3 linked regions of the Arabidopsis thaliana genome follow. The protein of the gene in region 3 purifies or fractionates together with the protein of the main gene of each other region. This does not show direct contact. Each region holds a gene or a part of one and is shown on either strand. Other genes may lie near its edges.

What was found.
Region 1: the proteins of PIP5K1 (region 3) and CIPK7 purify together in Arabidopsis thaliana (affinity purification with mass spectrometry, with the first as the bait; one study listed by BioGRID). This does not show direct contact.
Region 2: the proteins of PIP5K1 (region 3) and ARFA1D purify together in Arabidopsis thaliana (affinity purification with mass spectrometry, with the first as the bait; one study listed by BioGRID). This does not show direct contact.

Annotation. Positions count from the first base shown.
Region 1 is NC_003074.8:8,170,096-8,176,586, forward strand, and holds CIPK7 (CBL-interacting protein kinase 7), read left to right. Parts: upstream 1-2,383; 5' UTR 2,384-2,558; coding exon 2,559-3,848; 3' UTR 3,849-4,047; downstream 4,048-6,491. Other genes in the region: RLP36 (receptor like protein 36), read left to right, coding at 4,763-6,491. UniProt on the Arabidopsis thaliana protein: CIPK serine-threonine protein kinases interact with CBL proteins. Binding of a CBL protein to the regulatory NAF domain of CIPK protein lead to the activation of the kinase in a calcium-dependent manner.
Region 2 is NC_003070.9:26,561,274-26,568,571, forward strand, and holds ARFA1D (Ras-related small GTP-binding family protein), read right to left. Parts: upstream 4,539-7,298; 5' UTR 4,413-4,538; exon of another isoform or gene 3,889-4,412; 5' UTR 3,880-3,888; coding exon 3,732-3,879; intron 3,638-3,731; coding exon 3,567-3,637; intron 3,487-3,566; coding exon 3,367-3,486; intron 3,280-3,366; coding exon 3,161-3,279; intron 3,084-3,160; coding exon 3,002-3,083; intron 2,895-3,001; coding exon 2,889-2,894; 3' UTR 2,445-2,888; downstream 1-2,444. Other genes in the region: AT1G70480 (OBP32pep, putative (DUF220)), read left to right, coding at 977-1,147, 1,246-1,404, 1,494-1,616, 1,694-1,837, 1,916-2,335; AT1G70500 (Pectin lyase-like superfamily protein), read right to left, coding at 5,306-5,623, 5,707-5,823, 5,906-6,014, 6,091-6,172, 6,271-6,478, 6,570-6,590, 6,681-6,851, 6,957-7,085 and 1 more. UniProt on the Arabidopsis thaliana protein: GTP-binding protein involved in protein trafficking; may modulate vesicle budding and uncoating within the Golgi apparatus.
Region 3 is NC_003070.9:7,731,245-7,740,575, forward strand, and holds PIP5K1 (phosphatidylinositol-4-phosphate 5-kinase 1), read left to right. Parts: upstream 1-3,416; 5' UTR 3,417-3,808; coding exon 3,809-4,905; intron 4,906-4,999; coding exon 5,000-5,164; intron 5,165-5,332; coding exon 5,333-5,498; intron 5,499-5,712; coding exon 5,713-5,823; intron 5,824-5,903; coding exon 5,904-6,097; intron 6,098-6,186; coding exon 6,187-6,317; intron 6,318-6,402; coding exon 6,403-6,496; intron 6,497-6,764; coding exon 6,765-7,065; 3' UTR 7,066-7,528; downstream 7,529-9,331. Other genes in the region: AT1G21990 (F-box/RNI-like/FBD-like domains-containing protein), read right to left, coding at 9,286-9,331. UniProt on the Arabidopsis thaliana protein: Catalyzes the synthesis of phosphatidylinositol 4,5-bisphosphate and phosphatidylinositol 3,4-bisphosphate.

The DNA of each region.
Region 1 (6,491 bases), on a different chromosome or scaffold from region 3:
TTTTTTTTTAGAATATCTAAAAGTTTAAACCCAAAAACTCAAAAACTTTACGTTTTTTAGAGACAGAATCTATACTAAATTAAATTTATTTCTCTAATAGACGTCGAACTCATTATCTCTATATTTGAAAGATTTACCACTGAATCAACATCATATTAGTATTTGTACAATTATATAGAACGATATACATTTTTGCCAACTTTTGAAATTATACTAAATGTCTAACCTTTAAACCAGTTTACTGTACAAATACCTATGTAAAAAGAATTCTGTGTGATATATAATTGTAAATATAATACGCAAAGAGATCGTCAATTTTGAAAAACACTTTAAATAGTAAATATTATATAGAAATTTATCTCCTTAAATTAGATGTCTATATGTTCAGAAAAAATATTGGTATATTTTAAAAATTACAACATGGCATCTGACCTGCTCAGAATTAAAATATTAACTGTAGAAGATATTTTGATACAACATAATCATATATTATTCCACTACCTCCAATAGTCCAAATATATAGCAATAATTTTCTAAAGATACGTATCAAGAATGGTTTAATATGATATCATTGTTACATGCATATGCGTAATTTTTTTCATAGTTAATATATTCTTTGTAATATGGAGCCGACTGATGAATATTGGTGAGTTCTAGTGTGTGACAAAGATGCCATTGTTGACTAGCAAATTCTAAATCTGAGGAGAATAAAATAATTCTAGAAATTGAACTTTTGTTTTTAACACCAAAATCAAAACCAATGGGCCCAATTCTTTGCTGACTTGGCCAAATGAGAGCCGTCCATATGTCAGTCGACAACTGCCAAACAATCTTGACGGTTTGTTAGTTTGGCTCAAAAGCCACCAGTAATCACTGATCAGTTTGGGACTTGAGTAAATGACTTATTTACCCTTAGTTCAATAATACGGTTTTGTGTGATTTAATTTGCTAGTTAAGTTAAACCATATTTAAGGATGGTTTAATTACATTTCAGGTGGAAAAAATTGATGAGAGAATCTAGCTAGAAAAAGATGGACACGTATGGACCGTTGAAAGTAGGAATACAAATTATTTAAGGAATACAATATTTAATTTCAACACCAAGTGTCGAATAGATACAACAATAATAATGATGAACACCAAGATTTATTTTATATTCTCTATTTTGAATATTGATTACTCCAACTTTTTCATGATTTGTTTTTCAGCACTTGAGATTGGAATAGACACACTGTGATATCGACCATAAAATATTTTCTTAGGAATATATCGTTGTGTATAAAGTATAAAGTTAAGTGTAATGCTTTAAACAAGAAAAATAAAAGAGTTGAGATTGTAATCATAGCAAAAGGCTATTTTATAGACCTTTTAGCGGATGGAAAAAAAAAAAAAAAAACACCTTTTAGCTACATGATGTAGCCTACATCATATATAAAAAAGATAATAGAATTATTTAAGAAATGTAATGTGTTATAAATTAATAACCAACACATACACAATAAGATTCATATAAGTTTATGAAATCAAGGTTGTGATATTGTTGTTATTGAGATCCAAAACTTAAAATCCAAAATATCAGAACTTTTGGAGCATTGGATTATATAAAATATATTTTTCTCAATCAAATCTTTTTTTAGTTAACAACTTTAAATTAATCGCAATAGAATTATTCATGAAAAATGTTATTTACATATAACCCAATCCAATGATTTCAAAAGAGATATTATAGAATTTTGTAAAGCATTAAAGATTTAACTACATTTTGTTACATAGACCCATAATCATAAAACCTTTGATTCATAGTTTCATTCTTATAATGGTCTCTTAAGTATGAAGGTGTTGTAGCGGAGACTAGAAATATATATGAGGGTAATGTTTGTCTGTTGAGACACATTTTTACAAGCTATTAAAAAAAATGATTCCAACAATATTTATTGAAAGTAAATGTATTTTATTAGGAGATTTTAAAATTAATGTCATATTCTAAAATGTACAATATATACATTATTTTTTGAAGATTTTACAATAAATTTCAAAGTGAAACTGAAATGATTTTATTAAATTTATATACATAACTCTTTGTGTTTTTTTGACAGTCATATATATAACTCTTAAACACAAGCTTTTACAGAACATCTACAGTTATTTTAGGTGAATAAACACTCCAATTTCAAACAATTTAAATAAATAAATGATAATTATCTGTCAACCCATAAACTTTACATTGTAAGACCATTTTATTTTATTTATTTTGACTATTTATGGATATGTGATATTATTGAGAAAAAAAACACTATTACTAATTGACAGAAAAAATACACTTAATATTTTCTCCTAAATTTTCTCAACGAATTAATTACAAAATAATGTGTATACCAAGTAAAAAGATTCTACTTCTCAGTGACAGCAGAACTAATTTATTCAAGGGTAGTTTCGGAATAATAAAAAAGCAATAAATCTCTTTTTCCTATAAAAGCAAAGAGACACTCACCAAACAACTCGTCCCTGAAACCTCTCTTCAGAAAACTCAGGCACCATTTTCTCCTTCCGCCGCCGCCATGGAATCACTTCCCCAGCCGCAAAACCAATCATCTCCGGCAACAACTCCGGCGAAGATCCTCCTTGGGAAATACGAACTCGGTCGTCGTCTCGGTAGCGGAAGCTTCGCGAAAGTCCATTTAGCTCGATCAATCGAATCCGACGAGCTCGTCGCCGTTAAAATCATCGAGAAGAAGAAAACAATCGAATCCGGTATGGAACCAAGAATAATCAGAGAGATCGATGCGATGCGTCGTCTTCGTCATCATCCAAACATACTCAAGATCCATGAAGTTATGGCAACCAAATCTAAGATCTATCTCGTAATGGAACTCGCTTCCGGTGGTGAACTTTTCTCAAAAGTCCTCCGTCGTGGACGTCTTCCTGAATCAACGGCGCGTCGTTACTTTCAACAACTCGCCTCCGCTCTTCGTTTCTCTCACCAAGACGGTGTCGCTCACCGTGATGTGAAACCTCAGAATCTACTCTTAGATGAGCAAGGTAACCTCAAGGTCTCTGACTTTGGTTTATCAGCTTTACCGGAGCATCTACAAAACGGATTGCTTCACACGGCGTGTGGTACTCCGGCTTATACAGCTCCGGAGGTTATTTCACGGAGGGGATACGACGGAGCAAAAGCTGATGCGTGGTCTTGTGGTGTGATTTTGTTTGTTTTATTGGTTGGCGATGTTCCATTTGATGATTCGAATATCGCTGCGATGTATCGGAAGATTCATCGGAGAGATTATCGGTTTCCGAGCTGGATTTCGAAACAAGCTAAATCGATAATCTATCAGATGTTAGATCCGAATCCAGTAACGAGGATGAGTATTGAAACAGTGATGAAAACGAATTGGTTCAAGAAGTCTCTAGAGACTTCTGAGTTTCATCGTAACGTCTTTGATTCGGAAGTAGAGATGAAATCGAGTGTTAATTCGATTACTGCTTTTGATTTGATCTCGTTATCGTCGGGATTAGATCTTTCTGGATTGTTTGAGGCTAAGAAGAAGAAGGAGAGGAGATTCACGGCGAAGGTTTCGGGTGTTGAAGTGGAGGAGAAGGCGAAGATGATTGGGGAGAAGTTAGGTTATGTAGTGAAGAAGAAGATGATGAAGAAGGAAGGAGAAGTGAAGGTTGTTGGATTAGGGAGAGGAAGAACTGTGATTGTGGTGGAAGCAGTGGAGTTAACGGTGGATGTTGTGGTGGTTGAAGTGAAAGTTGTTGAAGGTGAAGAAGATGATTCACGGTGGTCTGATTTGATTACTGAGCTTGAAGATATAGTTCTTTCATGGCACAATGACATCATGTAAATAGATTGTGACTTTGTGGATTTTAGTCTCTTTTTTGTTTTGTTTCTGTTCAGTTTTGTATAATCCATGAAGAAATCAAAATCTCCCGCTTCATTGTCTTTTTACCAGCAGATACATTACCCTCTCTGCTACCGATTCCATAAGCTTTGATCACTACATGGTACTCAATAATGATTCTCTTATTCGCTCCTTGTCGCTAAGCCCATGGGCTCAACTCAACGCATCTTCAACATCCTCAATATAAAATTCAAAGCCTCAAGAATAGGTGGGGATAATGTATCTTAGACATTTCGTCGAATTGGTGGGTGCTAAAAAAAATTCTTCAGTAAAAGAAAAGGGACGTAAGATAAGGTCCAACAAAAACAAATTATTCATAGGAAGACTTGCCAAGTCAAAAGTCAAGCTCCTCACACTTTTATAAAAACAAGTGAGTTTATGCTCATCACTTACCACAAACAAATTATCTTCCTTTCCCAAAAAAAACGAAATTGAGAGACGATGATTCGAAGCCTATCTTATTGCTTTCTTACCATCTATTTCTTCTTGAGCATTCTTCCATTACCAAACACCATTGCTTGTCCCACACGGTTACTGTGCCGCAGCGACCAAAGAGATGCTCTTTTAGAGGTACAAAAGGAGTTACATGTACCAACAACTACATGGAACAAGAACGTTGACTGTTGTTCTTGGGATGGTGTCACATGTGATGCTATATTGGGAGAGGTGATATCACTACAACTCTATTATAGTACTGCTAACATCTTCGTGAGCTAGTGCTTTCACGTTGCAAACTTCAAGGGGAAATTCCTTCTTCCATTGGAAATCTTTCTCATCTCACATATCTTGATCTTTCGAATAATCAATTAGTAGGTGAAGTTCCCGCTTCAATCGGTAACCTAAACCAACTAGAGTCCATGCGTCTTTGGGATAATGATCTAAAAGGTAATATTCCTACTTCATTTGCCAACTTAACAAAGCTTTCTGAATTGTACCTCTTTGGAAATCAGTTCACGGGTGGGGATACAGTATTAGCCAATTTAACCAGCTTGTCCATTATAGACCTCTCCTTAAATTACTTCAAATCCTCCATTTCCGCTGACCTTAGTGGACTTCACAACTTAGAGCGATTTTCGGTGTATAACAACTCATTTTCCGGACCTTTTCCTTTATCATTGCTCATGATTCCTTCTTTAGTCCATATTGATTTAAGCCAAAACCACTTCGAGGGACCTATTGATTTTAGGAATACCTTTTCATTATCTAGGCTAAGAGTGTTATATGTTGGCTTCAACAATTTAGATGGGCTAATTCCAGAATCTATATCTAAATTAGTCAATCTCGAATATTTAGATGTTAGCCACAACAATTTCGGAGGACAAGTCCCTAGATCAATATCTAAAGTAGTCAACCTCACTAGCGTTGACCTTTCCTATAATAAGTTGGAAGGTCAAGTCCCTGATTTTGTATGGAGATCCTCAAAGTTGGATTATGTGGATCTTTCTTATAATTCTTTCAACTGCTTCGCCAAATCAGTGGAAGTTATCGATGGAGCATCATTAACTATGTTAAATCTTGGTTCAAATTCAGTCGACGGACCATTCCCCAAATGGATATGCAAGGTTAAAGATTTATACGCCTTGGATTTGTCCAACAACCATTTTAATGGTTCCATTCCTCAATGTTTGAAGTATTCCACTTATTTTCATACGTTAAATCTGAGAAACAACAGTCTAAGTGGGGTTCTACCAAATTTATTCATTAAGGACTCTCAGTTGCGATCACTTGACGTTAGCAGCAATAATTTGGTGGGTAAACTTCCAAAATCGTTGATCAACTGCGAGAGGATTGAATTTTTGAATGTGAAAGGAAACAAAATCATGGACACGTTTCCATTTTGGTTGGGATCTCTACCATATTTAAAAGTTCTTATGCTCGGATCAAATGCATTTTATGGTCCCGTCTATAACCCCTCCGCATATTTGGGGTTTCCAAGTATAAGGATCATTGATATATCCAATAACAACTTTGTTGGATCATTGCCACAAGACTATTTTGCCAATTGGCTTGAAATGTCTTTGGTGTGGAGTGGTTCGGACATCCCACAGTTTAAATATATGGGAAACGTTAATTTTAGTACGTATGATTCGATCGATTTGGTGTACAAAGGAGTAGAGACGGATTTTGATCGTATCTTTGAAGGTTTCAATGCTATTGATTTTTCTGGAAACCGATTCTCCGGACATATCCCTGGGTCTATTGGTCTACTGAGCGAACTGCGTCTTCTGAACTTGTCAGGCAATGCATTCACAGGCAATATCCCACCATCCTTGGCGAATATCACAAATCTCGAGTCATTAGACCTATCACGAAATAACTTGTCTGGTGAGATTCCTATAAGTCTTGGAAAACTCTCGTTTTTGTCCAACACCAACTTCTCCTACAATCATCTTGAAGGATTGATTCCACAAAGTACACAGTTTGCAACTCAAAATTGTTCTTCGTTCCTGGGTAATCTTGGACTCTATGGTTTCAGGGAAATTTGTGGAGAAAGCCATCATGTGCCCGTTCCTACTACATCTCAGCAACCCGAGGAACCTTTGTCGGAATCGGAAGACCAATTGCTGAACTGGATAGCAGCTGCGA
Region 2 (7,298 bases), about 19 Mb from region 3:
AAAAGAGAAAAAAAATCTCGATTAGTGCCCGCAAACGTTAGACCGACACTGGGTCTAATGCAAAAGAATTAAAACATAGAAGCATAATTTATAACACAAATTCTAGTTCATCTACTCAATCAAAACATCCAAACTAATGGCGTTAGTGAAGTAATTACAATTTTGCGATTCTTCGCGAATTAGTTGAAGAAGACGAAAGACGAGTGCAACTTGTAGAAGCCTACAAAGTTTAAAACCCATAATTTGATGGGGTCAAAAAGTAGAACATATCAATGAAATTTTTTCACGCCAGTGATACTCGTGAACTTTGTATACTCATTCCATTTCTACCACATTTGCACTCAATACAATCTTTTAGAATCATAATAACTTCTTGAGAAAAGAACTTGGTCCAAGCTAGTGAAATCAAAAAGGTACGTTAAAAAAACAAATATCTTACAAACGGGACGCAGTTTTCACAGTAAGCTAAAAACGGCACGCAGGTTTCTAAAGAGTGGCGAGGATTTCAACGTTAGCTTAATTTTTCCGCGCTAAGACCAGCTAAAAAACGACACGTGGCAATCGTGTTCCTCAATGGTCTCTTTCGTCCAAGACCAGAAAAGAGAAGAAATGTGGCCACTCTAGAATCCGTCGCATCTCGATTCAAAGCTATTGATAATTTCGTCTTCTTCTTCCATGGAATAACGTGTTTAGGCGTGTATCACATGGTTCTTTCTTTGTGTGACACAAAACCAACATAAAGCTTCCATACGATTTAGACATTGTCGATCGCTATTGTAAGATCTGGTCTGGGTCCTCGATTTTGGTGAGGATTGTCGGGTGGAACAAAACTCTTTCTTAAAGGCTCTGCAGAAATTAATTCTCTGCTCTGGCTGGATCTGATAGTGATTTTACAGATTGTTCAGGTGCTTTATTGGGCTGTGTTTCTTCGTTAGTAAAGCTTTTTGCTTTCCTTTAGTTTAGTGAAATCTTAAAAATGTTTAACTTTGCGGCTTTACTTCAATTGCCTTATACACTGTGCAGGTCAGAAATGGGCAATCCGGGATCAGACACAGAGAGAAACAAGGGAAATGTGGTCTCAAGTGTGTTTGATCCTGCACTCTCTCGATTCGTTGGATTTTCCCAGAAACTCCAAACTCGTCTTAAGGTCATGCTCTGATTCCACACATTGCTTTTCAATACCTTGTGATGTTTTTGATCTTTAGAGGAGCTGAAAAAGGAAGCATTTTGTTCTCTTTGTCACAGTCCCAGCTGAAGAATTTGACAGATGATAAGCATGGGATTGGTTCTTCATGGAGGCAAGATAAAGGAAACTCATCGATCTCCATGCAAATTGATCTGGAGAAACAGTTAGATTGTTGGAGGGAAAACCCTTCGTGGACTGATCAGATCCCAGTCGTTAAGGTGAGCAAGAGATGAACTTTACAACATGGTTTTGTCAGAGTCTTTGAGAATCTTGTTATATGATAAATAATAACAAGATTTCTTTACAGGTGGGTATTCCAAAAGGATCGCTTTGCAATCTTAAAGCCGAGGTGAATGTTGGTTTACCTCCTGATGCAGTCTATAACATTGTAATTGACCCTGACAATAGAAGAGTCTTCAAGAATATCAAGGTACGTTTCTTATAGATTATCTTGTTCTCTCTGTTACAGTTTTAAGCTCCTGTGATTCATTGGCCTCGGAATTACAGGAGGTTATGTCGCGGAAAGTATTGGTAGATGACGGGTTAAGGCAAGTGGTGGAAGTTGAACAAGCAGCTTTGTGGAGATTTCTCTGGTGGTCAGGAACAATCTCAGTTCATGTCTTGGTGGATCAGGATCGGGCAGATCACTCTGTAAGACCTCTACGATTATAACAAAAGTCTCAAGTTTCTTGAATGGTTCGTGAAAGGGGATTTAAATGGGTGTTGCAGATGAAATTCAAGCAAGTGAAAAGTGGATTCATGAAGAGATTCGAAGGAAGCTGGCAAGTAAAGCCTTTGTTTGTGGATGAACATATGTGCGATCGTTTGAAACCGAAAACGCTGGAGGAGTATAACAGGTGCACTGGAGGTAAAGGGAGGATCGGATCTAAGGTAACGCTGGACCAGCTAATACAGCCAGCGATTGTTCCACCTCCGCCCATTTCTTGGTATCTCAGAGGAATCACGGCTAAGACGACAGAGATGCTTATCCATGACTTGTTGGCTGAGACCGCCAGGATCCGTGCAGCTGGAGTAATGGAGGATGGTCACTCGCCCGATGAGCAACGGATTGGCACACCTGGAGATATAAAAGAAAGATGGTCTGCACATAGAAGAACATCAAGGAGACGACGCAATGATTTGTGTTAAGTCACAGACTCACACAGTCCATGATTCTGGGATAATAGATATCTTGAGGATTTTTGGATCACCCAGCAATATGTGAACATAATATAATATTTGTTTTCATAAGATACACTGGCATATAAATGTGGGAATCTATTCCTTGTTGAAGAAGTTTACAACCATGACTCAATGACTCATGACCATTACAACCATGACTCAATGACCAATAGTGATATGAATTTTCAAATATACAAAATTTCTAATTCATTTATTTTGGTAAAGAAAGAAAGATATTTCTGTGATGAAAACGATGCAGACGTGAAAATAGGATACGCAAAAACAAGAAAGCAAAACAATCAATCATATTAATCCAGGCACAATACACGAAAGCTATTTAAAAGGGTTCTTCTAGTAAATTTTTAGGTACAAGACCATCTACTTGCACAATAAGAAACATTCACATACCCAAAAAAGCAAAAAGGTTCAGATAATATTTATAATCTCTCTTGCATCAAGACAGAGAGAGATCCCAACACAGCAGACAGAATCATCTCGATGCAACGCAATTTCTCCCTCATCATGCCTGTGCAAGAAGAGCAACACGAGGTAAAGATATAAGCATCGCAGAATAAAAAGAAACCAGCTCGTTAGATTTGTGTGTTTTTGAAGAAACTTATGTAGTTATGTTACCTTGCCAGCGATGTTGTTGGAGAGCCAGTCCAGACCTTCATAAAGCCCTTCACCTGAAGTGGCACATGTGCTCTGGATATACCTGTAGCGAGCAAAAACACACATCAGTATCGAACAGAAATTGTTTGACTTTTGAAACTTATAAGGATGTTTATTTACCAATGACGCTGACGGAGGGAGTGAAGGCCAAGCTTATCTGTGATTTCAGCAGCGTTCATAGCATTTGGAAGATCTTGCTTGTTGGCAAACACAAGCAACACAGCATCACGCAGCTCGTCCTGCAATAAAAGAGTTGGTAAGTAAAGGATTTTCAAACTAACAAAACTATGAAGAAGAACTCTTTCTCTATAGCACTGGATATTTACCTCATTCAGCATCCTGTGGAGTTCATCTCGAGCCTCAACAACTCTGTCTCTGTCATTGCTATCAACAACAAAGATTAGACCTTGAGTGTTCTGGAAGTAGTGTCTCCACAAGGGACGGATCTGAAAAAGAAGCCAAAAAGTCAGTTTATTTGGGTGAAAAGTTCCTTCATCAAACAATAAGCAGTACAGAGACTCCATACCTTGTCCTGACCCCCGACATCCCACACGGTGAAACTAATGTTCTTGTATTCCACAGTTTCCACATTGAAACCTGTTGATAGAATTTAGCATATCACTAATCGATCCTAGATTTTATACCATCATCACAATTTAAAAACCAGTACTAAGGTGTGAAGCTTCTTTACCAATAGTAGGGATGGTGGTGACAATCTCTCCGAGCTTGAGCTTGTACAAGATTGTGGTCTTACCAGCAGCATCAAGACCAACCATCAGAATTCGCATCTCCTTCTTGGCAAAAAGCCTGCTAAACAGCTTGGCGAAACTCAACCCCATTTTGCTTCACTGCAAACAAACACAACAAAGTCTAATATCAAAAACCTCATACACATTCTATATCACGCGATTTTCATCTCAGAAATCCTAAATTATGCATCTATAATGCCAAATTCAATTCTTATATCCTCTAAGAACCTGATCAATACCAAAATCGTCACTCACAAACATCAAATTTCAACGAGATCAGGCCGATCCAAACAGAGAATCAAACGTCCCGAGATATCATAATCTCTCTGATACAGATCTTCAACATCTCAGAAGCTATCAGATACAATCACAACGACGGAAAACGAAAGTGAATAGAAAATTCAACAGATCCACACTATCAGATCGTAATCAGAAACGTCGACATATATACACATCTTAAAAATAAAATCGCATTATCCATTCATGAGCAAGATCAACCTCAACGAAATCAATCACGACGATTCCAAAACCATCAAAATTCACAAGAAACGAGAAATGCAGAACACATACAGATCTACGCTAAATTGAGAATGTATGAGCACAGATCTTAGATCAAAGCGTACCTACGAAGAATGTTTCGGAGAGATCTGAGAGAGAGAGACCGCGAAGAAACGGAGAGAGCGAGAGAGACTCGAAGAAATTTGAAAGAGAAATGTGAGAGAAGCTTAAGAGAAACGCGATGACGCCGAAATGGGAAGTGGTGGAGAGCAATTTTATAAGGGAGAGGGGTACCGGTTTATTCGTCGTTTCTCACGCCAATTAACGAAATTGCCATTTGTAATTGACGGAATTACCCTCTTCGAATCTTCTATGACCAAGTGTGCAGGTGTTCGCGAGCTAACCAATTAAAACTTAACACGTGAGCAATACTCTTTTCTTAAGTGCTACTTCATCTCCAGTGAAAATTTCGTTATTTGTTGATGTTGTCTGACCAATAAGAAATCGTCATTTCAATCAATTTTGATAAATTTTATAATTATTAAAATAATTTTAATATATATAATATGATTACATATCTACATCTATTAATGATATTTTTAATGAAATTTTGTTTGTCTGGTTTGGTTAACTTTGGGAAACGTTAGCCACAAAATCATTTAAAAGATTTATTTTCAAAATGATAAAATTAATCAATTGAGAGACAATTCCGGTTTAGTATTAGCTTAAAAATTTAAACATTTGGGTCTGGTTTTGCTGCCAACCCTTAACGATCATAACAAAACATAGAGAGATGAGCAAATGCTACAAACTACCAAATAAGCATTCATTTTTTATACAAAAATATTAATCTTTACCTTAATTATAATCAATTTATAAACACTACAATGCTTTTCAATCTCATTGTATATGCTTCATTAACAAGCTATATATATAAGGTCAGTTGCTAAAGATGAATTACAACTAAATATAACGTGCACATTCCTCACTACAACGACCGTCAAAATATGTGATCACCTTAAAGCTCATCATGAGCATTTTCAGTTTCTTTTTCGACCATAATAGTTTCTGCCAAATACTGATCAGTTTGGTTTAAGCTCTTGTCGTCATGCGAATACAGACAATCCGCAGAAGGATGAACTACACCATAACCAAACCCTTCAGCAGAGTTACAATATGCTTCTACTTTTCCATCATTGCCTTCCAAGTTGATATTGTTGAGGACAATGTGGCTGCAAGGGACTGCGTCACTACACTTGAAGTTGATGGCTTTTGAGCTTTTCGTGGTTCCGGTTATGTTCCTGTACATTATCTCGGATATGTGAACCGCCGATGTCTGCAAAGAAATAGGAATCAAAAGATTAAGTTTCTTTCTTGAGGTTTGTTGATAAGTCAATGGTTATGTGAAAGAATTAAAACCTGGTTTTGACAAGTTGATGGTGAATCACAGTAGAATTGATCGATTATAATCGGATTCGCAACGTCCTGCATCACTACGTTCTCGAAACGTACACCCTTTACGTAACCATTACCACCCTGTTTTAAAGAGTTTCATCTTTCAATCAATCCTGAAAACTCTTTGGAAGGAAAGCAAAGATCAATAGAATTGAGATTTTACCTGCCATGTCTTGATTCTTAGACCATTAGTTGTGTTCTTTAAGAACGCAGTTTCCAACACAACTGCAGTGACGGTTCCTTTCGAATGTCCTTGTCCAAGACTTCCAATACTACAGAACAAGAAATTATTTGCAATCAATAATAATATATGTGTCTCATTTCTTTTTATGGTTAGAGATGGTTTACCTGATTCCATGTCCTGGTCCACAGTAGATCCTCTTCATCTTTATCTTGGCGCTTCCATTCACAATCGAGACACAATCATCTCCTGTTTTCAAGTTGAAGTGTCAGCTATAACATTTTGAGTTTAATATTATAATTACCATGATAGTGTTTTGAGTTAAATAGAAGTTTTTGGTGAAGAACCTGTGCTGATTTTACTGTCTTGGACTACAACATCGGTAGATGCGGTTATATGAATTCCATCAGTGTTGGGACTGTCTCCTGGAGATGTGACCATAACTCTAGAGATTCGAACTGTAGTTGACCGTTGTATGATCAAGTGCATCTGTTGGCTGTTCCGGATAGTTAAGCCTCTCACATACACATTTGAACTTGAATATATAGTTAGAGCCTGTATAAAAGTAAAGACTTTCTTATAAGCAAAATCAAACATAAATGATAAGTCTAATGGTCGATGAACACAAAAGGGAAAAAACTTAGACCGTTGGTGCGCCTACGCAAGGCTACAAAAGAAAAACAAGAAAGATATGTGTCAGATTTCTACTTCATGATTGATTAGAAGAAAGTCCACTTTATGTAAAGAAGATACTTACGTTAGACTTGTTCTTCTTGCAAGAAGCAGCCCACCATTTGGTACCAGAACCATCTATAACTCCATTCCCTTGGAATACAACTCCTTGGAGTTTGGAAAATTGAAGCCAATTCCTTGGGAATTTCGGGTCCCATTGGCTAGGCTCATCTGGTGCTATGATTGTTCCATCAATCTATCAAAATCAAAATTAAAAAAAAATAAAAATGCATAAGACAATAAATGGTAACATGTTGTTGTAGCTTAACGTGTAACAGGAATTAAGAAGTTAAAAGATTACCTGAATGATCAATTTTTCTTGACATGGACCATCGAATTTCGTCGCATTTACTAAATAGCTACGTCCTTGTGGAACCAATAAAACAGAGTTTGGTGCAGAGCAGGCCATGGTCCAAGCTCTTATAAATGCCTGGTTATAAGAGAAACTTTTCACTAGTTGATAATTAAAATATATATATATGGTGGTTTTGTGTGTCTATTCCACCAGCATTATCATGAATTTCTTAAACCGATTCGAGCATAACGCACCTGAGTATCATCAGAAACTCCATCTCCAGATGCATTAAAGCTATCCACATTCACCAGATTCTTACCAGAATATTGGCTTGTAAACGACGAGAAA
Region 3 (9,331 bases):
ATAATAACTTGTACACATGCACGTTTGAACAATCCTTAGAACAACCAATATATTTTTATCTGCATTACAACTGGCAGAAAAAAAGATTATGATGCATCTAATTACTTAAATAACCAAACTATATATAATAAGAGATGGAACAGTTTGGTAGATCCGGCGTTGAAATGACAATCCCGTAGGCTTAATAGCTATATCATGGCCATATGTTACCTCAATGAGAAGAGAAGAAACATCGTTACGTGAATATCTGAGCTTCTCTCGTGTATCCTTGCTTATTTTTCGCAAATTTAATATGTTCACGCAACAAGCATCATAATTTACTTCTTAAATAGCAGACATAATGATTACCATTTGCATAAATCCTTATTTCTTCCAAACTAACAACCCTCATCGCAATGATAGTAGGATCAAACTATACGAGCTTAGTAGTACTCATGCAATATTTTGAACCAGTAAAACTTACCCTTTTGTGGACATGCCTATGAGAGAAGAGATAAACTAATAACGTGAAGACTTGATCAATATTCAAGCTAGCTAGATGGTAGAAAATAATGCAATCATTTTTTATTAGCAAACGTTTATATTTCTCTTCTCGTAAATAAATCTAAAGAAAAGTTACAAAAAGAAAATTTATAAAGTTGTCACGTTTAGTGAATGTTTCTACTTTCTACTCTCGTAGATATGTCCAAAGCAGGGTAACTTTCACTGGTAGAAACATATATCTACTGTTTCCCTCAAATTCCATAACAAAATTCACATTATTATGGTGTGACGACATTTTGGGATTTCAATAGTGTGAAGAGTAGATAGGAGTTTGCTCAAAATCAACCACGTTGTAGGACGGCTACCTGATTCACCGGCCATCATCGCTTATCACTCACCAGTCTTTTCTTTGTTCTCTCAATTGAAAAAACAAAAATATTCCTGAGGTTAATTTTGTAGATATTCTTTATACATGGCTAACATTAACAATTTTGATACGTCGCACGCGTTCGTTGCACGTGTGAACTAGGAGGCGCAAACGACGAAAACGTAATGTTTGACGCCAGCTTTGATAGACACGTGGACAGTTCAGACGCTAATGATGTGGACACAATCTTGATCGCCGAAACACTTTTCTACATGTGGCACCGTCTATGTCGTGGATGCTTCGTAACCAACGACATTTTGCGGATGGGCCGTGACAGCCCAATAAGCATACTTTGTATGCCAGATCAGCTCTAGTGGTCCAACTGTAAAAGGAGCTGTTTGGCTTCACCTTACCTGTTCCTACTACTCTTTGAGGTTGAAATTAGCCAATTAGGTTTATTGATAAGGACTCTTATTTTATTTATGATTTATTTTCTCTTTAACATCGTCATATAGTTATGGGTCTAATGGCCACGAATTCTAAAAACGATAAATAAAACAAATTATGCTGAATATATCAAATATATGTATATGTATTTTTTTGCGTTAACTTAGCCAATTAAACACGTAACATTCGTGTTTAATGTTTTTAATTTGCCTAAGGCAATATTTTATTTTCGTCAAAAACAAGTAACCGAAGACACTTGTTTCTTTCGAAATCAGTACTCAATAAAATAAAGTTTTGTGTAAGACTAATTTTAGAGATTCTCTTAGTAGTTGACCAAAAAAAAACAAAGATGTTTTACATCAGATTCGAAGTACCACAGTTTATAAGTATGCCAATACGTGTGATTGAATACATCAATATAATTAGATCTTATCTTACATATTTGTGGACAATTAAGTCGGTATTTCGCTAAGAATGTTTTTTTTTTTTGCAAATCAAAATGTGTATTCTATGACAATATAAAAATCATATACACAAATAAATGATGGCTAGGAATCGAAAAAGATGTGTCCTCGTGGGTTTTTAGAATTGAAAGCGTCAAAAAAGAAACACTAGAGCTTTCAGATTTCAAGTATACAGCGAAGAGTAATGAGATGCCTTGAATATGGAATGGGAAAGTATCTCAGTATGGCGTAGAGTACCAACGCGTTATGGTGTATGAATGGGAAAAAATACATTCATTCAACCATATTTTATACTCCTAATATTTATATTTATTCGTATCGTGTGATTTTTTCATTAATGTGGACAAAAGTTATTGAGTACTTTTAGGTTTTAACTGGGGATCCACCCCCAGCATTAACGTCGGCTTCGAGTACCGAAATAAAATAAACGGTGTAGTAATGACGAAATAACATAAATAAGTGTCGAATAGCTCCAACACGTAGAACAAACGCAAGAAAACAAATGTTAAATGGTCAGTTTATGAAGATATAAAAACAAGGAGTATCAAACTTGAATTAAGGTTTTAAGAACATTTTGAGTGATTCAATTGCTTCTTTTATACAAAAAGTTTAAACTCAGATTACGTACGCCCACGTTCCCTTGAAGTATATTTTTAATTTTTCCTAATGCGGTTGTAATATATTTTTATAAAGATTTTAATTAAATGGTGATCAAATGTGTTAGATACTCTAACCACCACAGCCGTGGTAACTAACCACTGACCACTCGTACGTATAATACAATTTTAGAAATATACATACTTAATATGTGGTGTATTAGGTATTTTTGTAGCATTTTTTTTTGTTAAAATGTTACACGTTTGAATTATGAAGTTTACGTGCACGGTCGCAACTCGCAATATAGTTTTTATGATGTTTGTGGTTATTCGAATGACAATCATGTCCTACTACTAGCACTTCAAATCAAAGTACACGAACCTATAGCCTATAGGATGATGTATGTCTATTTATGCGAAACCAAACTATAAAAAATCTCGATTATTTATCAAATAAAATATTAGACCTAATTTACAAATGGCGGACAAAAACTCAACTTTAAAATGTAAACCTTTGGCACTATCAATATCAACATAAAAACGTTAAAAAAATAACGCAACTTTAGAATTTCATATACTACTTGCATCAACCATCTTCTGTATCTATCACTATCCGTATGGGAATATAAGTATCCTTTAAATTAATAAATCATCGCAAGTAGGAAGAGAATCAATACTCGAAAAGATATAAAAAAAACCCACCAAGACAACGATCATCTAATCACAGAAGAGAACAAAATTCTTAGAATCATAAAAGTAATTAATTAAGTAAGTCATCAAAGACAATCACCTGGAAACTCGCTTCCTAATCAAGATTTCTCGATAATCCTCTCAATCATAATCATTTCTCTACTATCAATAAAATAAGTAAACAAAGGTAGACCATAAACTAATCATTTGGTCTTCTACTATTAACGTATGAAGTAGCCCATACTATATCATATCGCTTTAAATTATACAAAGACAAATTCGAAACAATCTCGAGTACGTATGTATTATTAATTTTATGTTTACACTACGGTGTCGTTTTCAAATTTTTAATAATATTGTGGGTTTCTTTTTCGGGCTGGTGGGCTTTTTGTGTCCGCTTCCCAATACTTTTATTTTATAAATTAAAAATTAATCATCGTCTCTCTTGTGTCTCTCTGTTCATCACTTTTCTTCTTTTGATGTTCTTGTAGCGTCTGTACGAAATCTCACAAGGTTTCTTCTTCTCAGATTTAGAAATACTTGTGTGATATCTTCTGAGTAACCAAATTCTTGATAAAGTTTCTAGCTTTATTCAAACCCATTTGAAAAATCCGGTGGTGAATCGCCGGAGAAATGTGTTTTTCGTTTCTCCACTGAGTTTTTTTTGTTAAGAAATCTGTTAAAACTCTAGATTTCAAACGAATGACATTTTCTGAGATTGAGGAACATTGTGAATCGAGGACTGGAGTGAAGATTCTCTGATGAGTGATTCAGAAGAAGACGAAGAAGAAGAAGAAGCTAGTGAAGTCATTTTAAGCAGCGTCGTTCAGAAGAAGAAGAAGAAGAATCTGCGTTTCGGTGAAGAAGTAGAGAGACGAGACGGTTTGGTGTTGTTAGCTCAATCTACTCCAATGGTGAGATCGAGATCTCAAGGAACGACTCGGCGCGTGACTCCCACGCCTTTAGTAGATGTTGAGAAGCCGCTACCAAACGGAGATCTTTACATCGGAAGTTTCTCCGGTGGGTTTCCACATGGATCCGGGAAGTATCTATGGAAAGATGGGTGCATGTACGAAGGAGATTGGAAACGAGGGAAAGCTTCAGGGAAAGGCAAATTCTCATGGCCAAGTGGAGCTACTTACGAAGGTGAATTCAAATCTGGGAGAATGGAAGGTTTTGGTACTTTCACTGGAGCTGATGGAGATACTTATAGAGGAACTTGGGTTGCTGATAGAAAACACGGACATGGACAAAAGCGTTATGCAAATGGAGATTTTTATGAAGGTACTTGGAGAAGGAATCTACAAGATGGTAGAGGTAGGTATGTGTGGAGAAATGGGAATCAGTATACTGGAGAGTGGCGTAGTGGTGTGATTTCTGGGAAAGGTTTGCTTGTTTGGCCTAATGGGAATCGATATGAAGGTTTGTGGGAGAATGGGATTCCTAAAGGGAATGGTGTGTTTACTTGGAGTGATGGGAGTTCTTGTGTTGGTGCTTGGAATGAGAGTAATATTATGAGGAGTTTCTTTAATGGTGTTGAGAAGAATGATTTGATTGTGGGGAATAGGAAGAGATCTTCTGTTGATAGTGGAGCTGGGAGTTTGGGAGGTGAGAAAGTTTTTCCAAGAATCTGTATTTGGGAATCTGATGGTGAAGCTGGAGATATCACTTGTGATATTATTGATAATGTTGAAGCTTCCATGATTTATAGAGATAGGATCTCTGTTGATCGTGATGGGTTTAGGCAGTTTAAGAAGAATCCTTGTTGGTTTAATGGTGAGGCTAAGAAACCTGGACAGACTATTTCTAAAGGGCATAAGAAATATGATTTGATGCTGAATTTGCAATTAGGAATCAGGTAAATATCTCAAATTTGGTGGATTGGTGTTTTTGTTTGGTGTGTGATGGCTTTCTCTGTTGTTTCTAATGAAGGTTGTGTGTGATTGAATTAGGTATTCTGTTGGCAAACATGCTTCGATTGTTCGTGATCTTAAACAGACTGATTTCGATCCAAAGGAGAAATTTTGGACAAGGTTTCCACCAGAAGGGACTAAGACAACACCGCCGCATCAGTCAGTGGATTTCAGGTGGAAGGATTATTGCCCTTTAGTGTTCAGGTAACTTTTTAGCTTTTTTATTTTTATGAAAAGTGTTTCAATTTAGCAAATTGCTGAATGCGTTTTAAGTTTGATGATGTGGCTATACCCAAATTTGGGCTTAGTTGATAAGATTGTGGACGTATTTGTGATGAATTGTGTTTCTTTTTGGGCAAATTTTGTTTGTAGACGTCTCAGGGAGCTTTTCCAAGTGGATCCAGCTAAGTATATGCTAGCTATATGTGGAAATGATGCTCTCCGCGAACTATCTTCACCTGGAAAGAGTGGAAGCTTTTTTTACCTAACTCAAGATGATAGATTTATGATCAAAACGGTGAAGAAATCAGAAGTCAAGGTTAGTAGTTGTTGGCTCTTCTTGTTTTTGACCTTTCTCTTGTCATATTTGAAAATGCTTGTCTGTTCAAGTTAATTTACTTGATTAGCGGATGGGACACCCTTTTTGTTTGTTTGTTTCTTTGCTTTCACATTACTTTCTCAATCATAAACTCCACTAAGTCTGTGATTAGCTAAAGAAATTTGACCTGAAGTGTTTGTCTTCTTCTATCCAGGTTCTTCTAAGAATGCTTCCAAGTTACTACAAACATGTCTGCCAATACGAAAACTCCCTTGTGACTAGATTCTACGGTGTTCATTGTGTCAAACCTGTTGGTGGCCAAAAGGTATGTGTTTGTTCATCTAAAGCTTCATGGGTCTCTTAGTGTCAAGAAAATTTACTGTTTTGTTTACCATTTTTGATCAGACTCGGTTTATCGTTATGGGAAACTTATTCTGCTCCGAGTATAGAATCCAGAGACGGTTTGACCTCAAAGGGTCTTCTCATGGGCGTAGCACTGCAAAGCCTGAAGGAGAAATTGATGAGACCACGACTCTCAAGGACCTTGATCTCAATTTTTCTTTCCGTCTTCAGAGAAACTGGTATCAAGAGCTTATGAAGTAAGCTCCATGCTTCTCACTATTTTTTGCGTATGCAAAGTATTCAGCTACCTAAACATATGCTAATGCTGATCGGTATTCATGATCAGGCAAATAAAACGCGATTGTGAGTTCTTGGAAGCAGAGAGAATAATGGATTATAGCCTTTTAGTTGGTGTTCACTTCCGTGATGACAACACAGGAGAAAAGATGGGGCTTTCTCCATTCGTTTTGAGATCTGGTAAATTATACATCATTGATCATTCTCTATATGTGTCCCCCCGCTGAAGTCGACCTATCGTGAGATTTATGTCAATCTTATGCAGGTAGGATAGATTCATATCAGAATGAAAAATTCATGCGCGGTTGTCGCTTCCTAGAGGCAGAACTTCAAGACATGGACCGGATTTTAGCTGGCAGGTAACAATCATTGATCCGGGTTTCATTTTTAATGTTAAGAAGTTGACTTCACAGAGGAAGCTTTTTGCATTCATAGCCATTGAGACATGAAGTGGTTGAGAGATTCAATTTCGGATTAAGTATATAATATATGTAGGAATGATTAAATGTGCTTGGCAATCTTGTGTGGGGAGTGTTTAAACAAGTCATGTGGTCCTGTTTGCTAGAAAAGAATCAATCAATTCATGATCCATCAATTTTTGCTTAATATTCAATCTTGTGTTAACAGGAAACCATCGATCAGATTAGGCGCAAACATGCCAGCAAAAGCTGAACGAATGGCCCGGAGAAGCGATTTTGATCAGTATTCATCAGGAGGAGCCAGTTATCCATCACACGGTGAGATGTACGAAGTTGTTCTCTACTTTGGAGTCATTGACATCTTGCAAGACTACGACATAACCAAAAAGATCGAGCATGCGTATAAGTCACTGCAAGCCGATCCTGCTTCGATCTCAGCTGTTGATCCTAAACTCTATTCAAAGAGGTTCAGAGACTTCATCAGTAGGATCTTCATTGAAGAGGGCTAAAGACAAGAAGGCTAAAGTTTTTAACTAACATTCTCGGCTCTACGGAAATGTGAAGAAAGCTGCGCGGGAAGAGTAAAAAGGTAAATCTCAAGGATAGAAGAAAAGCGATTTCGGAATTTTATGTTTATATATTTTGAGATGACCAATCAAGTTTTTGGGTTGGGGAGGGGCTTTATTTATTTTTGTGGTGAGCCGTTTATATATATAATATTTATATATGTGAATATAGATTGAAGGTTTTAGTACATAGGCAGACAAGAAATTACAAGGAAAAAAGGGTTTGGTAAATTCCGAAAATGTGGAATAAAGTAAAGTGTACAAGTAAAAAAATGAAAGATAGTAATACCATTAATTAGTTCTCTTAATCCCATATTCTCATAGGATCCCTCCTTAACCATCCAAAGTTAAGGGGTCCATTATTTTGTTGTTGTTTATTTTCTTTCAATACAACTTTACCACTTGCATAATCTATGAACCTAAAGCAATGTCAATGGTAAACAGTAAATGCTAAAATAGTTGATTAGTAAAATAGTATATGGTCAAAGAAGGAAGAGTTGAATTGGGGTTGGTTTCATGAAAAGTAGATAAAGCTAAACTAGCACACCACATGTCTTTTCTTTGCATTCTTTTTGTCTAAATCTCTTAAGTCTAGTTTTTTTCATATGTGATAGCTTCACAAAGTATAAGACTGTTATTCAAATTAAAGTCTTAGATCTTTTAATAAAAACTAAAAGTCTAAGAAGCCTGAAACGGTTTGTTTATCTATGAATTCATTTAATTACGCTTGGATTCTGATCAACAATCCATTGCATCATCGTTAATTCTCAAAAAAACTAAAACTGGTTTTTTCAGACTTGACATGGTTTTATATTTTGTTTACATTAAAAGAATTTGTATATTTTTTCTTTCCAAAGTAAACAGTAGTGAGTAGACAATTATTGTTTTTCATTAAGTTTAATACTTTCTACAGTCCATATAATTGCTTTCATTGGTAATAATAAACAACTCTTGTTGCAAAAGAACATGTTAATGCACATTAGCAAAAGTAATTAATCCCATTAATAAACAACATATAGACATGAGTCACATGATATTCTATTCACAGATCCACTAGATGTTAAAAGCTGACATATTATCTAAGACTACAATGCCTAGAACTTAATAGATTAATACCAATTTGGAATTTGAAATAAGCAATTAACTAACATGTCATGTTCTCTCAGATTCTAGTGTCCGAAATCCCAAAGTCATAAATTAATAATAGTCTTTGTTTAAGATACCCTGAGAAATCATACTTATCGTAGTCTTAAAACATTGCATTATAAGAACTGAGTGGTGCAAACATATTTTACGATAGTCATAGTGTGGGTTTGGATTAGGAAAATTCGATTTAATAAAAGGAGGATGTAGTTTTCATGGATTCAGACAGATGGGGTGTCAGATATTGACAATGGAGGCCCAAATGAAGACAAGAAGAATGGGAAATTAGGGATTGGTCTCAACTTTGGGACTATGTTTGTCTGAAGTTGAAAAAAGCCACCAAATGTGCCCATTCGTGTATTTTTTTTTAACACCCCAACATAATGTCCCACCATGAAGGGGACATCTCCCCTTAGCTATCCCTTTCTCATTATTCTTGTATTTCTATAATTCTTTCGTTTGTTACAAACAATTGTTATAAGAGGTATAATTTGTAGAAAGATATATCAAAAGTAATCACTAAATAAGTAAGAATCGTAGACGCATTATCCTTATACTAATGATGTTGTCTTCACTTCCTCGAGAAACCTCGTGACTCATGACACTATTTTAATATACATGCAAATTGCAAGACATTGGATGTTGCGTAGGTGGTCATTCTTGTATAATAATAATATAATCATGAAAGAAAACACTAATTAAGGAAATATCCATTCTTAAGTTTTTCATATCTTTTATATTATTCAAATATGTATCTTCATAATAATTCTTCATATTTTTTGGTATCATTATTCTTCATGGTTATGCTTCATATTTCTCCTTTTTAAAATTATCTTCCTCACTCTTTTGATATATACATAGCCTCTTTCAATATTTTATGAGAATTAATTGGGTGATGTTGGAAAATATTACAAGACATGGTTATGATCAATTAAACAATTCTGAGAGTCTAAACAATAATGCTTTGCAACCATCAAATAAACAAGGTTTTGGCAAATAAACAACGGTGGCAAAGAGATATCAGAGGAAATGGATCCGACAGTTTGATGAAACCCTAGGAAGCTTC